2 linked regions of the Anolis sagrei genome follow. The protein of the gene in region 2 purifies or fractionates together with the protein of the main gene of each other region. This does not show direct contact. Links are inferred from orthologs where the notes say so. Each region holds a gene or a part of one and is shown on either strand. Other genes may lie near its edges.

Evidence for each region. The genes of interacting proteins can lie anywhere in the genome.
Region 1: the proteins of PPP6R1 (region 2) and ANKRD52 purify together in Homo sapiens (co-immunoprecipitation; 3 studies listed by BioGRID and IntAct, with this or other methods). This does not show direct contact. The link is inferred for Anolis sagrei from reciprocal best matches to the Homo sapiens genes PPP6R1 and ANKRD52.

Annotation. Positions count from the first base shown.
Region 1 is NC_090022.1:138,444,159-138,451,987, forward strand, and holds the start of ANKRD52 (serine/threonine-protein phosphatase 6 regulatory ankyrin repeat subunit C), read left to right. Parts: upstream 1-4,441; 5' UTR 4,442-4,621; coding exon 4,622-4,648; intron 4,649-7,829. UniProt on the Homo sapiens protein: Putative regulatory subunit of protein phosphatase 6 (PP6) that may be involved in the recognition of phosphoprotein substrates.
Region 2 is NC_090026.1:20,851,988-20,860,538, forward strand, and holds the start of PPP6R1 (serine/threonine-protein phosphatase 6 regulatory subunit 1), read left to right. Parts: upstream 1-5,477; 5' UTR 5,478-5,671; intron 5,672-8,551. UniProt on the Homo sapiens protein: Regulatory subunit of protein phosphatase 6 (PP6). May function as a scaffolding PP6 subunit. Involved in the PP6-mediated dephosphorylation of NFKBIE opposing its degradation in response to TNF-alpha.

The sequences.
Region 1 (7,829 bases), on a different chromosome or scaffold from region 2:
TTCTTACTGAAAGGCAGTGGTAAAGAGTTTGGGGGAAATTCCCAAAAACAAACTTTGATTTTTCTGCCTCCTGATATGTAGACATAGTTTGCTATTACTTCCTGCCATTTCACAGATCCATAGGTTCTCTCTGACATTCATCAGAGTTGGTCTCCAGTTTAAATAAGTTGTGTTATTCTACTACATCATTGTATGTAAGGACACCTGAGCATCCATGGATTTTGGTATTCACGGGGGGGGGGGGGGGGGAGACGTGCCTGGAACTAAATTCCAACAGATACAGAGGGCTACTCTACTTCAATATTGAACAAAATAAGCACAGAAGGAATATGGGATCTGTCCCGCTGAGGTTGCCCAAATCTTTATTAATTTATTTTATTTTTTTATCCTGCCTTTCCCTTGACAATAGGGATTCACAGCATCTGATATATGAGGCTTGCCTCTTTGTGACTAATGCTGGAGATAGTCTTGCTCCCATTTCACAAAGCAGGCCTCACCCCATCTCACAAGGATATGGTCAAATTGCTCAGCCAACTGTGCTTCAGCTCTTTTGTCTTTCTTCAAAAAGGCCTTCTCTAATATAATTTAATGCTAGAGTTAGCCATGGAAAGCTTAGCCTTCCCATATTAATTGAATAGTATCTTAATCCCAAAAACGATATACGAAGCTTTCCACAGCATCAAGGTAAACACCACTGCTAATATCTGGATAATATGAAAGCGAAAGCTGGCAACCTTCAATCTATTGTTTGCAGTACAGTGGAGTTCTCAATGAGGAGCGGAGAATGCCAATGGAGAGGTATAGCACCCTCTACTGGGTCTCTGCAATAAAGGTAACTTCAGGAACACATCTTGTAAAGGCAACACATGTATTTGAGGATGGGTACTTTGTTGCCAAATAGAAAGGTGTAATAAACACATGTAAATTATTGAAAGCTTGAGTCTGAGCTGAAAAAACACCTCGTTGTTGTTGTTGTTGTAAATGACCCAATGAATGAGAGTCCTCTACATCCACATTGTACAATTAATGCAATTTGATACCACTTTAACTACCCTGGCTCAAGGATAGGGCATCATGAGAGTTGTGATTTCACAAGGTCTTTAGCCTTCTCTGCCAGAGTGCTGTTGCCTCACCAAACTCCAACTCCCAGGATCCCATAGCAGTCAACTAATGATGGGTTTTTTTTGTTTTTGTTTTTGTTTTGCCGTGTCAGGTCTGATTTGAGAAACTGCAAGCCGCTTCTAGTGTGAGAGAATTGGCCGTCTGCAAGGACATTGCCCAAGGGACACCCGGATGTTTTGATGTTTTACCACCCTTGTGGGAGGCTTCTCTCGTGTCCCCGCATGGAGAGCTGGAGCTGATAGAGGGACTCATCCACACTCTTCCTGGATTTGAATCTCTGACCTGTCGGTCTTCAGTCCTGCTGGCACAAGGGTTTAACCCACTGCGCCACCAGGGGCTCTATCAAGGCTGTTAAAGTGGTGTCAAACAAAGTGCAGATGGACATCAACATCCCTGCTCAGATTTTCAGACTCAGGGCCATGGCTTTCTTGACTGAGTTCACCCATCTCTAATGTGGCTTTTCATGGACAGCCATCCAAGGCCTCATAGGGGGTTAATGTACCCACCATCACCTTCCAGAGCTGCCCTCTCCTGCAATAAAACATGGGCAGAATATCAATAGCATCCTCTTAAAATGTCTTGGTTGGTGGGCTCTTCCCACCGATGTTTATACAGTATGTGAAAGATAAATACAACAGAGAAGAGCATCTTTCCCTGCAATAAAATTATGTAATGCATACATTTTCTTGGAAGATATTCAAGTTTCAACATGGTGCAGTCAGCCCTTCACCTTCATTGGAGTTAGGGGCTTCCTGATGTGGGGGAATAGCAACACCCCCCACGTGTTTCAGGATTCAGCAACATATTTGTGTTCATTGGTTACAGCTCTCTTTCTCCTTTTGTTCCAGGAAAACTTGCAGTGGTACGGGAGATGATGGCTTGCAGATTGGCACTTTGCCCCATACTACCATTTTGAGTAATACTGGGTAAAACAATCACTTTCCCCTTTGAAATGAAACACCGAGCCTTATAAAACCTTTCTCATAATTTCCCACTTCCATAGCATTATATCAGACATTGTATCATACATTGCCAGCCAAATACAACTGTGATGCCAGCTTTCAATTTGTAAAGATATATTTTCTTCTTCACAGTATACAGTGTAGTCTGTACAGCCTAATCCTGTGAATGTGTACTCAAAGTTTGTCTTTAACATGGGTAATAGCAGACAATATTAATAGCCCTATATTGTTGTTTATTGCTTTCAGGCCTATGTCTCAAGTATTCACTCTTGAACTGAACATTAGGACCTCATCTGGTTAGGCACACAAAACCTTGGGATGTGACTGTTGATTAGGCTCCATCTACACTGCTATATAATGCAGTTCGAAACCATTTTATATGGTAGTATAGACCCATCTTAATAGACCCATATTAAGATAATTGGGGGAGGGAGTTACAAAAGAAGAAAGAAAAAGAAAAGAAATTAAATAGATTATAGATTTATAGGCTGTTAAGGGTTAGGGAGGAGGGAAGGAATTGCAAAGAAGAAGAAGAAGACCACCAACATTCTGTTTTCCATTCCTGAGTTGGGATTATAGTCACTGCTATTTTGTTGTTGATTCATTCATTCATTCCCTTCCAACTCTTCGTGACACCTCCCCCAGCTCCTTCAAGGTCCAGCCAGTCACTTCAAAGGTACTATCCATCCATCTTGCCCTTGGTCGGTACCTCTTCTTTTTTCCTTCCATTTTTCCCAGCATCATTATCTTCTCCAAGCTTTCCTGTCTTCTCATGATGTGACCAAAGTACTTCTTCTTTGCCTCTAATATCCTTCCCTACAGTGAACAGCTGGGTATTATTTCCTGGAGTATGGACTTCTTATGGTCCAAAGCACTCTCATAATTTTCCTCTAGCACCACAGTTCAAAAGCATCTATCTTCCTTCGCTCAGCCTTCCTTATGGCCCAGCTCTCACATCCGTAGGTGACTATGGAGAATACCATTGCTTTAACTATATGGATCTTCGTTGCCAGGGTGATGTCTCTTTGTTGTTGTTCATTTGTTCAGTTGCTTCTGACTCTTCGTGACCTCATGGGCCAGCCCACGCCAGAGCTCTCTGTCAGCTGTCACCATCCCCAGCTCCTTCAGGGTCCAGCCAGTCCCTTCAAGGATGCCATCTACCCATCTTGCCCTTGGTTGGCCCCTCTTCCTTTTTCCTTCCATTTTCCCCAGCATCATGATCTTCTCCAAGCTTTCCTGTCTTCAGGATGTGGCCAAAGTACTTCATCTTTGTCTCTACTACCCTTCCCTACAGTGAGCAGCTGGGTATTATTTCCTGGAGTATGGACTTCTTATGGTCCAAAGCACTCTCTCAATTTTCCTCCAACACAACAGTTCAACAGTGTCTATCTTCCTTATGGCCCAGCTCTCACATCCATAGGTTTCTATGGGGAATACCCAGGGGCGGCTCAACCCATTACACAAAGTAAGCATTCGCAGTATAGTTGATTTTGGCCAGGGGCGCTCTTGAGGCGCTCTTGGGGGAAAATAGACCTTGACATATGTGAGTTCGGTTGTAGTTACTGGGATTTATAGTTCACCTAAAATCAAAGAGCATTCTGAACTCCACCAATGATAGAATTGAACCAAATATGGCACACAGAACTCCCACAACGAACAGAAAATATAGATCAGTGATTGGTTGGGGTGGGGGGACCAAAATATTGTTTGCTTACGTTGAAAATTACCTAGGGCTGCCTCTGGGAATACCATTGCTTTAACTATGCGGATCTTTGTTGCCAGTGTGATGTCTCTACTCTTCACTATTTTATCAAGATTGGGCATTGCTCTCCTCCCAAGAAGCAAACGTCTTCTGATTTCCTGGCTGAGGTCTGCATCTGCAGTTATCTTTGCTCCTAGAAATACAAAGTCTGTCACTGCCTGCACGTTTTCTCCTTCTGCTTGCCAGTTATCAATCAGTCTGGTTGCCAGAATCTTGGTTTTTTTGATGTTTAACTGCGACCCAGCCTTTGCACATTCTTCTTTCACCTTGTGTATGCAACTTGCCAAGTGTATGCAATTTAACAAGAAGGCTGCTCAGCTCCTCCTCGCTTTCGAGCATCAAAGTGGCATCATCTGCTGGAAGGAGCACAATACACAGATTTGCCGGGTCAGCGCATGCGCACAATGGCTGTTCTCCGAGGGCCGTGAGCTCAGACTCGCCTGCCTCCTTCTGCTCCGGGGCCTGCAGTGGCGGGGCCGGCCCGCTAGGGGCGCTCTCCCGGCGGGGCCTGCTCTCTTTCTCGCCCGCCTGCCTGCCTGCCTTCCTGCGAAGGGAGGGCGGGCTCAGTCCCTCCTCCTCCTCCTCCTCCTCCTCCTCCTCCTCCTCCTCCCTCTGCTGCTGCTCCTGCCTCGGCGCTGCCTCTCCGGGAGCCTGCCTGCTTGCTTGCCTGCGTGCCGCGGCGGCCACTGAAGCGCCATCGATGCCGGGAGCGCGGAGGCGGCGGTGGCGGCGCTCCTGCTGCTGCTGAGCGAGGTGGGGGCGGCCCCGCCCGGAGATGGGGATCCTCAGCATCACGGACCAGGTATCCCGCGGGAACGCCGAGGCCTCCCCCTCCCTCCCGGCCGCGCCCGCCACGCGAGCCTGGGGATGCGCGGCCTAGTCCGGAGCCGCCCCTTCCTCGCTCGGCGGGAAACTCCCCTCCCCGCCTCCCCCAGCCTCCTTGGCCCCGCCGCCCCAGAGGAACCCCCTCCTCAGTGGGGGAAGCCAGGAGAAGGAGAGGAGGAGGAAGGCGGGCCTCGGCAACGCCCGCCTTTCCCGCCCAAGGAGGCGCAGCAGCGCGGCAGGCAGGCAGGCCTCCCTCCTCCTCCTCCTCTCCTCACTGTGGATGGACGCAGTTTGGCCCCGCTCTCGCGGCCATGGCTCGAGGCTAGCGGACCCACTTTGCAAGGCCTTCAGCCCAAGAGGGATGAAAGCGCGTCAACAAAAAGCCACAGCTCCCAGGATTCCATAGCATTGAGCCCTGGCGCCCCAGGGAGAACGCGGCGTCCCTTCTCTTGCTCTTCCTTTCTTCCTTCCTTCCTTCCTTCCTTCCTTCCTTCTTTTCCAGTCCTTGCCGGGTTGCCTTCCACGGCGCCCCCTCCCCCGGCCATGATGCCAAGGCCGCATTCGGGGAGGGAGCCTCGTCGCCGCCACCGCCGCCGCCTCAGGGCGCGTCTGCACTGTCGAACTAATGCAGTTGGACACCGCTTGAACTTCACTGGCCCCATGCTATGTCATCCCCGGAGTTGTAGTTTGGAAAGGCACCAGTTTTAGGAAAGCATGATCTTTTAGAGATCAAATTACTAGAGGTTGTAATTTCCAACAACTAGTATCCTTTGGATTATTTAAAGAATCACGGAATCTAGGTTGTAGATTTTTTTTGGGCTGTATGGCCATATTCTAGAGGCATTCTCTCCTGACGTTTCGCCTGCATCTGTGGCAAGCATCATCAGAGCCTCAGGCCCCTTCCTTCCCCCCCTCAGCCGCTTAAGCTGAGGCTCTGAAGATGCTTGCCACAGATGCAGGCGAAACGTCAGAAGAGAACATGGCCATACAGCCTAAAAAACCTGCAACAACCCAGTGATTCCTGCCATGAAAGCCTTCAACAATACATAATCACAGGATTCCCCATGGTGCAATGGGTTAAACCCTTGTGCTAGCTGAATCCGGGGAGCGCCCTCTGTCAGCTTCAGCTTCCCATGCATGGACATGAGAGAAGTCTCCCACAAGGAGGGTAAAACATCAAAAACATCCGTGTGTCTCCTGGGAATGTCCTTGCAGATGGCCAATTATCTCATACCAGAAGTGACTTGCAGTTTCTCAAGTTTCTCCTGACATGGAGGGAAAAAAAAGAATTACAGAGTTGGAAAAACCACAAAGGTCATCCAATCCGTTCTGGGAATCACTGGGTTGCTGTGAGTTTTTCAGGCTGTATGGCCATGTTCCTGCAGCATCCTCTCCAGCAGCATCCTCTCCTCCGTGATTGTAGGAATCACTAAGTTGCTATCAGTTTTTCAGGCTTATGGCCATGCTCCAGCAGCATTCTCTCCTGAAGTTTCACCTGCATCTGTGGCTGGCATCTTCAGACGAACCTTCAGATGTGGCTGATATCTTCAGAGGCTCATCTGAAGATGCAGCGGAACGTCAGGAGAGAATGCTGCTGGAGCATGGCCATAAGCTTGACAAACTGATAGCAACTCAGTGGTTCCTACAACGGACTGGATGAAGGAAACAATGAAAATGAACAAAATCTGGCTATCAGTATTTTTAAAAAAACTCTAAAATCACATCAGCAAATAAAGAAAAACACTTTGAAAACACAGGAATTCCAGACAAGAAAAATCAGGCCTCTCAACTAAGGATTCCCCCAGGCAGGAAGCAGCCAGGCTTTGAAGCTGCAAGGCTTTTCAATGCTAGTCAAGGTGATTAATTGCACCATTCACACTTGCCTCCAACATACAAGAGTTCTTTCTCCATCTCTGGATCTTCCACAGATATATAAACCTCTCTCACTTAGTTCCAATATACCTCAGAACCTCTGAAGGTGCTGCTGTAGATGTGGGTGAAACGTCAGGCGAGAATGACCATTGGGGGTGCTTTGAATGCAGTTTTCCTGCTTCTTGGCAGGGGGTTGGACTGGATGGCCCACAAGGTCTCTTCCAGCTCTATAATTCTATGAATGCTTCTGGAACATGGCCATGCAGCCCGGATAACTCACATCAGCCCAGGATTGGATGATTTTTGCAATCTTTCCTACTTTGTAATTCTACAAGCTGTAGTTATCTGCAAAACTCACAGTAACTCATCATCCAGTCCAATCCCATTCTGCCATGCACATAATCAAAGCACCCCCAACAGATGGCCATACAACCTCTGCTTAAAAACATCCAGAGAAGGAGACTGCACCACACTCTGAGGTAGCACATTCCACTGCTCTTACCTTCAGGAAGTTCTTCCAAATGTTCAGGTGGAATAATTTTTCCCACAATTTGAATCCACTGCTCTGTGTCCTAGTCTCCAGATATGCAGAAAACAAGCTTGCCCCCTCCTCAGTGTAACATCCTTCCATAGCATTGAGCCATGGCAGTTCAAGTGGTGTCAAATGGCATTAATTCTGCAATGTAGATGCATGCTCTCTTCTCCAGGAAGTGGAGCAAGGAAGATTTTTTTTCTCCAGAGGTCGTTTCTCCTCTCCGCTCCTCTGTTGTGAAAGGAAAATTCGGTACAATTCCTCTATCTGTCTTAAAGGCAGGCTTGGGATCCAAGTGGCAACACTATTTCTTGGGCACTGTCTAGTGCTGCACCTCGCTCTGCCTCTCCCTCCAGATTGAGGGGCTTCCTCTTTTGTATTCCCTTATTTACACATGCCAAAATGAACCAAGTCTGTCATTTCCCAAAATACCTTCTTCTATATAAGAGTCCTTTTTATAGACAAATCATTTTCCCATGATGTATATGTGCAGCATATTAGGTTGCATTTCTGCTGATCGGCAAGTCAAATTTTGGATACTGGTGCATGTTACATTTGCAAAGCTTACAACTTGCCCTGTCTGTAATCTCTCTGTGTAGACATTTATGGGTTTGTCTCAAACTATGTAATATGGGGACAGGCAGTGTTTTTTAAATTGTTGTTATTATTATGTTCTATTCTTACTTTATTTCCTTAAAAGTAGATCCAACACAACTAACAATAAAGGCAATACAATGTATAATTTCAAACCTAA
Region 2 (8,551 bases):
TCCTTTCATTAGAAAGGGTAGGCAATGCACTCTCTTATTACGAAACTTTCCTTTTCAAATTAGGTTTGATATACAGCTGGGGTAGGCACTGCTGTTGTTTCTGTCCCAGAAATGCCATCCTCCCTAAATTGTGTAGAACCTGTTGGGTGATTTATTCTCAATCCAGATGAACAAATATGAGCTATTTATTTATAATTATCCGCCTTCTACCTCCCTGCCCAAGGACTCAAGTTGGTTTGGCCTTTTATACTGGTTTATGATCTATTATATTTTATGGATTCGGGGTCCTTCTACACAGCCGTATAACCCAGAGTATCAAGCCAAATAATTCACAACTGGGATACCTGAGGGCTCCTCCACACCCCCTATATCCCAGTATCTGATCCCACTGCCAGATAATCTGGAATGAACAGAAAACCTGGGATCAGATCCTAGGATATAGGACCTGTCTGGAAGGGCCCTGAGTCACACTGCATATAACCCAGTTCAAAAGCAGATGTGGGATTTTATTCAGCGGTGTGGAAGGGGCCTAAAATAACCCAGGACCCTTCCATGCAGCAATCCGGAGTATCGAGGCAGAATAACCCACAATATCTGTTTTGAACTGGAATATCTGAGTCCACACTGCCACATATCCCAGTTCAAAACAGATATTGTGGGTTATCTGCCTTTATATTCTGGGTTATATGGCAGAAGGGGCCTAATTTTAATTGAAGCCACATTAGCCTTATGGTGAATCCATTGACAAAGAATCTGCACAGAAGGCCCTCCATCTATCTATTTATCTAACTACCTATCTATTACATATAGCCTAAGGGCCTCATCACACTAGAGAAAAAATCCGCTTAAAATCTGGTTTCTGCCTCCTGCAGAATTCTAGGGTTTGTAGTTTAGGGAGGAGCCTCGTCAACTCTCAACCAATTCAACATAGTTGGTATTTATTTATCGTGTCAGGGGCAACCAGACTATTGTATTACATTTTTAATAGAACAAAACAAACAAACAGGTTAAAAAAACCCACAAAGTTTGCAAACTTGGTAGTTGATTAAATGTCCTTTGACCAGGTTGCAACAGCAAGAACAAACTACAGAACAACTAACTGTTTCAAGATTGGGAAAGGAATATGGCAGGGCTGTATACTCTCACCCAACCTATTCAACTTGTATGCAGAACGCATCATGCAACATGCAGGGCTTGACAAATCCAAGGATGGAAGTTAAAATTGCTGGGTGAATATTAACAACCTTAGATATGCAGATGATACCACTTTAATGGCTGAAAGCGAGGCGAAGCCGAACTCCTCCTCGCTTTCTAATCAAGGTGAAAGAATAAAGTGCAAAAGCTGGGTTGCAGTTAAACATAAAATAACCCAAGATGATGGCAATTAGATTGATTTGACAACTGTAAAACAGGGAGTAAATGTGGAGGCAGTGGCAGACTATATTTCTAGGTGCAAAGATTACTGCAGACGCAGACTGCAGCCAGGAAATCAGAAGACGTTTACTTCTTGGGAGGAGAGCAATGTCCAATCTCGATAAAATAGTGAAGAGTAGAGACATCACACTGACAACGAAGATCTGCATAGTCAAAGCAATGGTATTCCATGTAGTAACCTATGGATGTGAGAGCTGGACCATAGGGAAGGCTGAGTAAAGGACAATAGAGGCTTTTGAACTGTGGTGCTGGAGGAAAGTCCTGAGAGTGCCTAGGACCGTGAGAAGATCAAACGAGTCCACCCTCCAGGAAATAATGCCCGGCTGCTCACTGGAGGGAAGGATATTAGAGGCAAAGTTGAAGTACTTTGGCCACATAATGAGAAGACAAGAAAGCTTGGAGAAGATAATGATGCTGAGGAAAATGAGAGGAAAAAGGATGACAGGCCACCAAGGGTAAGATGGATGGATGGTATCCTTGAAGTGACTGGCTTTACTTTGAAGGAACTGGGGGTGGCCACAGCCAACAGGGAGCTTTGGTATGGGCTGGGAGGAGACATGATTGTTGTTTGTTCAGTCGTTTCTGACTCTTTGTGACCTCATGGACCAGCCCACGCCAGAGCTCCCTGTCAGCCGTCACCACCCCCAAATTCTTCAAGGTCAGTCCAGTCACTTCAAGGATGCCATCTATCCATCTTGCCCTTGGTCTGTCACTGTCACATTTTCTCCCTCTATTTCCCAGTTGTTAATCATTCTTGTTGCTATAATCTTGTTTTTTTTTTTAAATGTTTAGCTGCAACCCAGCTTTTGCATTTTCTTCTTTCACCTTGATTAAAAGGCTCCTCAGTTCCTCCTCGCTTTTGACCATCAAAGTGGTGTCATCTGCATATCTAAGGTTGTTAATGTTTCTTCCAGCAATTTTAATCCCAGCCTTGCATTCGTCAAGCCCCGCACATCGCATGATGTGTTCTGCATACAAGTTGAATAGGTTGGAGGAGAGTATACAACCCTGCCATACACCTTTCCCAATCTTGAACCAGTCTGTTGTTCCATGGTCAGTTCTTACTGTTGCTAATTGGTCCTTATACATGATAAAGGTAAAGGTTGTCCCCTGACATTAAGTCCAGTCGTGTCCGACTCTGGACTTGCCCAATCTTGAACCAGTCTGTTGTTCCATGGTCAGTTCTTACTGTTGCTAATTGGTCCTTATACATGATAAAGGTAAAGGTAAAGGTTGTCCCCTGACATTAAGTCCAGTCGTGTCCGACTCTGGGGTGTGGTGCTCATCTCCATTTCTAAGCCGAAGAGCCAACGTCGTCCGTAGACACCTCCAAGGTCATGTGGCCAGCATGACTGCATGGAGCGCTGTTACCTTCCCGCCGGGGCGGTACCTATTGATCTACTCACATTTGCATGTTTTCGAACTGCTAGGTTGGCAGAAGCTGGGGCTGACAGCGGAAGCTTACACCGCTCCCCGGATTCGAACCTGCAACCTTTCGGTCAACAAGTTTAGCAGCTCAGTGCTTTAACCCACTGCGCCACCGGGGCTCCGGTGATACATGATAGCCATGTATAAATAAGTGAGAGCAAGTCATAGGAAGGAGGGAGCAAACTTGTTTTCTGCTTCCCTGGAGACTAGGACGCAGAACAATGGCTTCAAAGTACCGAAAAGAGATTCCACCTGAACATTAGGAAGAACTTCCTAACTGTGAGAGCTGTTCAGAAATGGAACTCTCTGCCCCAGAGTGTGGAGGAGGCTCCTTCTTGGGAGGCTTTTAAGCAGAGGCTGGATGGCCATCTGTCGGGGTGCTTTGAATGCAATTTTCCTGCTTCTTAGCAGGGGGTTGGACTGGATGGCCCATGAGGTCTCTTCCAACTCTATGATTCTCTATGAAGTCATGAAGAGCCAGAAATTATTGAACAAATACACAATGGCTGTGTGGAAGGGCCTACATTTCAACAAGCAATAATACTCTGAGACTATCCTGAGTGATTTGAACTACAACTTTTCTAAATGTGAAACCAAGAGGAGCTGCATTGGATTTTATGGGGCTTTGTGATTGATAAAGGCTACAGAGCTAGAAGACACACTGTTACAGCGCTATTTTTCTACTTTATCTGCAGGATAACTGATAGTTCCCTCCTAATGAATTCAACCTGCTTTGAATCCAGGGAAAGTACGCAAGCAAGCGCTCAAAATCCACCTAAAAATGAGCTAGGCCAAGAAGATAGGCCCAGCGCATGCGCAACAGATTTTCTTAGTCCCTCCATCGGCGGGAAGAAGGAAAGACGAGAAGGAATTCGACGCATGCGCAGATGCTCTCCCTAGTCTTTACTTCAATTCCCAGAATTCCTAAAATTTGGTCCTGCTGGCTGGTGGTACTCTTGGAAACTGGAGTTCAATGTCCTGTAGAACCACTGGCCTTTGGGGGAAAAGGAGGAGAAGGATGAACCAAGGAGAAGCCAAGCGAGAATTCTGAAAATGGAGAGAGGGAGCCCGACGCATGCGCAACTAATTCCCCTAAGTCGGAGGGAGGCTGATTCCCGTCGGACTCCCATTCCTAAGCCTCCCTCATTCCTGACTTAGAGGAATTCGTTGCGCATGCGCCGGACTTCCAGTCCTCTACCAGGAGTCCGACGCATGCGCAACTAATTCCCTAAATCAGAAATGAGGCTGAGGAAAGGGAGTCTGACGCATGCGCAGCTAATTCCCCTAAGTCAGGAATGAGGGAGTCTGAGGAAAGGGAGTCCGACGCATGCGCAGCTAATTCCCCTAAATCAGGAATGAGGGAGTCTGAGGAAAGGGAGTCTGAGGAAAGGGAGTCTGACGCATGCGCAGCTAATTCCCCTAAGTCAGGATATATTTTTTGTCGTGTCAGGAGCGACCTGAGAAACTGCAAGTCGCTTCTGGTGTGAGAGAATTGGCCGTCCACAAGGACCTTGCCCTGGGGACGCCTGGATTGATTTGATGTTTTTATCATCCTTGTGGGAGGCTTCTCTCATGTCCCCGCATGAGGAGCTGGAGCTGATAGAGGGAGCTCATCCGCCTCTCCCCGGATTCGAACCTGCGACCTGTCAGTCTTCAGTCCTGCCGGCACAGGGGCTTAACCCACTGCGCCACCGGGGGGGGGGGGGGCTCCGACGCATGCGCAGCTAATTCCCCCAAATCAGAAATGAGGCTGAGGAAAGGGAGTCCGACGCATGCGCAGCTAATTCCCCGAAGTCAGGAATGTGGGAGGATGAGGAAAGGGAATTTGACGCATGCGCAGCTAATTCCTCGAAGTCAGGAAGGAGGGAGGCTGAGGAATGGGAGTCTGACGCATGCGCAGCTAATTCCCCTAAGTCAGGAATGACAAGAGGCTGAGGAAAGGGAGTCCTCCCCTAAATCAGGAATAAGGGATGCTGAAGAAAGGGAGTCTCACGCATGCGCAGTTAATTCCCCTAAGTCGGGAATGAGGGAGGCTGAGGAAAGGGAGTCCGACGCATGCGCAGGTAATTCCCCTAAATCAGGAATGAGGGATGTTGAAGAATGGGAGTCCGACGCATGCGCAGCTAATTCCCCTAAGTTAGGAATGAGGTAGGCTGAGGAAAGGGAGTCCGGCGCATGCGCAACTGGTCTCCCTCTTCTTTTAGGGAGTCATATGTCCAAAACAGATTGTTAGGAATTGTGACAGTTGAAGTCCGAAACACCAGGAGGGGCGAGGTTTGCCCATGCCTGGTCTAGGGTAACTCCCAGGTATTTTGGCGGGTGGGCTTAAATACAGAAAATGGAAGGTGAAGAGAGTAAGCCCGCGCATGCGCAACTCATCCCCGTTCGTCCCTCAATCGGCGGGGGTGAGGGAATCCGAATGACGCATGCGCAGTTTGCGCTTCCTACTCTTTTTACTACATTTCCCAGATATCTCAACCCTTTGCCTCAGCGCTTTGGTCTTCTGGGAGTTGAAGTCTTAAAGGTTGGGAGCCAATCGCATTGGAGAAAGGGGGAGGAGGAGGGGGCGGGGCCAAGCCTGAGGGGAAAGAAGCGCGAAGAGGAGGAGGAGGAGGAAACGGCGAGTCGGCCGCTGGGAGGCGCGCGCGCGCGGGGGATTGTGGGATCGCGGCGGTGAAGGGAGGAAAAAAAAAAGTGGAGCGCGAGCCAGCGAAAGAGCCGCCCCCCTCCCTCCCTCCTTCTTCCTTCCTTCCTTCGCAAGAGAAGAAGAAGAAGAAGACTGGGGCAGGACGAAGGGGGCTCGAGCCCGGTGAGAGAGAGAGAGAGAAAGAGGGGGAAAGGGGCTGGCGGTGGAGGGGAAGGGAAGGGGGGAAGGAGAGAGAGGGAGGGAAGGCCTGCGCCTCTCAGGGACTGAGGGGAGCTGTGTGTGTGTGACAAGGAAGGGAGCTGCCGCCATTTTGGAGCTCCCTCTGGGAGACCCTCCCCCGGAATAGCGCCCCCTCCCCCACAGGCGTGATCTTTGCCCTTTCCTTCCTTCCTTCCTTCTCCTCATCCTTCCTGTCCAGGCCCAGCTCTTTGGCCTGTGGGTAGCCCTTCCTTCTTCCATGCCTTCATCTTTTATATATGGTTGTAATCCCCAAGTTACCAAAAAGATAGGCTTTGTAGCTTTGCTCTGAAGTTAAATTTGGATGCAAGTCGGAACAGGTACATTTTAAAAGTGTCACTCCTGCCAAATATATAATAATGATAATGATAACTGGGTGCCGTGCCAAAAGATCTCAGCCGGCATTTAGAAACAATAAACATTGACAAAATCACGATCTGTCAATTGCAAAAGGCCACCTTACTTGGATCTAATATATAATAATAATAATAATAATAATAATAATTGGGATCTCGGCCAGCATTTGGAAACAATAAACATTGACAAAATCACGATCTGTCAATTGCAAAAGGCCACCTTACTTGGATCTAATATAATAATAATAATAATAATAATAATAACTGGGATCTCAGCCGGCATTTGGAAACAATAAACATTGACAAAATCACGATCTGTCAATTGCAAAAGGCCACCTTACTTGGATCTAATATATAATAATAATAATAATAATAATAATAGCTGGGTGCCGTGCCAAAAGATCTCAGCCGGCATTTGGAAACAATAAACATTGACAAAATCACGATCTGTCAATTGCAAAAGGCCACCTTACTTGGATCTAATATATAATAATAATAATAATAGCTGGGTGCCATGCCAAAAGATCTCAGCCGGCATTTGTAAACAATAAACATTGACAAAATCACGATCTGTCAATTGCAAAAGGCCACCTTACTTGGATCTGCACGCATCATTTGAAAATACATAATAATAATAATAATAATAATAATAATAATAAAACTTTGTTTATATACTGCTCTATCTCCCCGAGGGGACTCGGAGCAGCTCCCAGGTAACATCTCAAAACATACAAAGTAAAACGACATAACCATAAGATTAACAAAACAATATAAGCATTAAAACATCACACAGTCCTAGACACTTGGGAAGTGTTCGACTTGTGATTTTGTGATATGAAATCCAGCATATAGATCTCGTTTACTGTGACATACTGTGATGTCAGTAAAATATTATTATTATTATTAATAATAGAAAACTGGAAAAAGCTGACCTGATATGAGGATTTAAAGATCGAACTGCAAAGACTCTGGCACAAGGTGGTCCCAGTGGTGATTGGCACACTGGGTGCAGTGCCTAAAGACCTTGACCTGCACTTAAACACAATTGGCGCTGACAAAATTACCATCTGTCAGCTACAAAAGGCCACCTTACTGGGATCTGCATGCATTATTCACCGATACATCACACAGTCCTAGACACTTGGGAAGTGTCCAACATGTGATCCAATACAACAGCCAGCAGATGTCTGCTGTGGACTCATCATGTTGTGTTACAAATAATAATAATAATAATAATAATAAGGTAAAACAATAAATGTAATAATAATAATAATAACAACAACAGAGTAAAATAATTAATAACTGACTTGAGTATAAGTCACCGATACATCACACAGTCCTAGACACTTGGGAAGTGTCTGACGTGTGATCCAATACAACAGCCAGCAGAGTGATCTTGTTTGCTGTGGACTCGTCTTGTTGTGTTTCAAATAATAATAATAATAATAATAATAATTAATGTTTGGCAAAAGTATGATAGCTGGGACCCAATGCCGAGAAAGCGCAGCAAGTGAGAGATGCAGGTACGACAGTCGTGGCAACATAGTTCACCAGAAAAGGGGGGGGGGGGTCAGTAAACAGCCAAGCATAGTGCTTAAGGCTATATAGACATCGTATGCAAACACGTTCAAATGCTTAACATCTTCGCTTCTCTAAGTCTGACCTGCATCGCGCAAACAGCATTGGGTCCCAGCTATCATACTTTTGCCATGTTTGTTTATATCCCGCTTTTTCTCACCATGCAGAGACTCAAAGCGGCTCACAATACCACTTCAAATATATAAATAGTAAAACAGTATTAAACATTATGTTGTCAAAGGCTTTCGTGGCAAGAATCATTGGGTTGCTGTGAGTTTGAGAAGCCCTATACGCTTTGGGTTCAACCTATCTTTGTGACAGCATCTCTTTCTATGAACCAGCACTGGCTCTGAGATTGACATGGGAGGACCTTCTCTTGGTCTCACCTTCATCTCAAGCATGGTTAGTGGGGATAAGAGAGAGGGCCTTCCCTGTGGTGGCCCCCTGGCTCTGGAATACCCTCCCAAAAGAGATTAGATTAGCCCTCCTCTTCAGTCCTTCCATTCCAGTCTGAATAGGCCCATATGAAGCTGACCCATGGCACCTTGTGAATTGACACAATTTCCCATATGAATATGATGCTATGGTATTGCAAGTTAAAAACAAAATAAAACAAAGGAGTTATTAAATATCAAAAGACACTTGTTGACTTTTGATATTTATATCAGGCATGGGCAAACATTGGGCATCCAAGTGTTTTGTACTTCTGGCTGTTAGGAATTCTGAGATTTGAAGTGCAAAACACCTGGAGGGCCCATGCCTTATATATACATGTATACATACATACATGTATACACATACAGGTTTCTCCAAAAGTTGCCATACATAGGGAAAATGGAAAATTGTAGCTACATTTATTAACAAAATAATA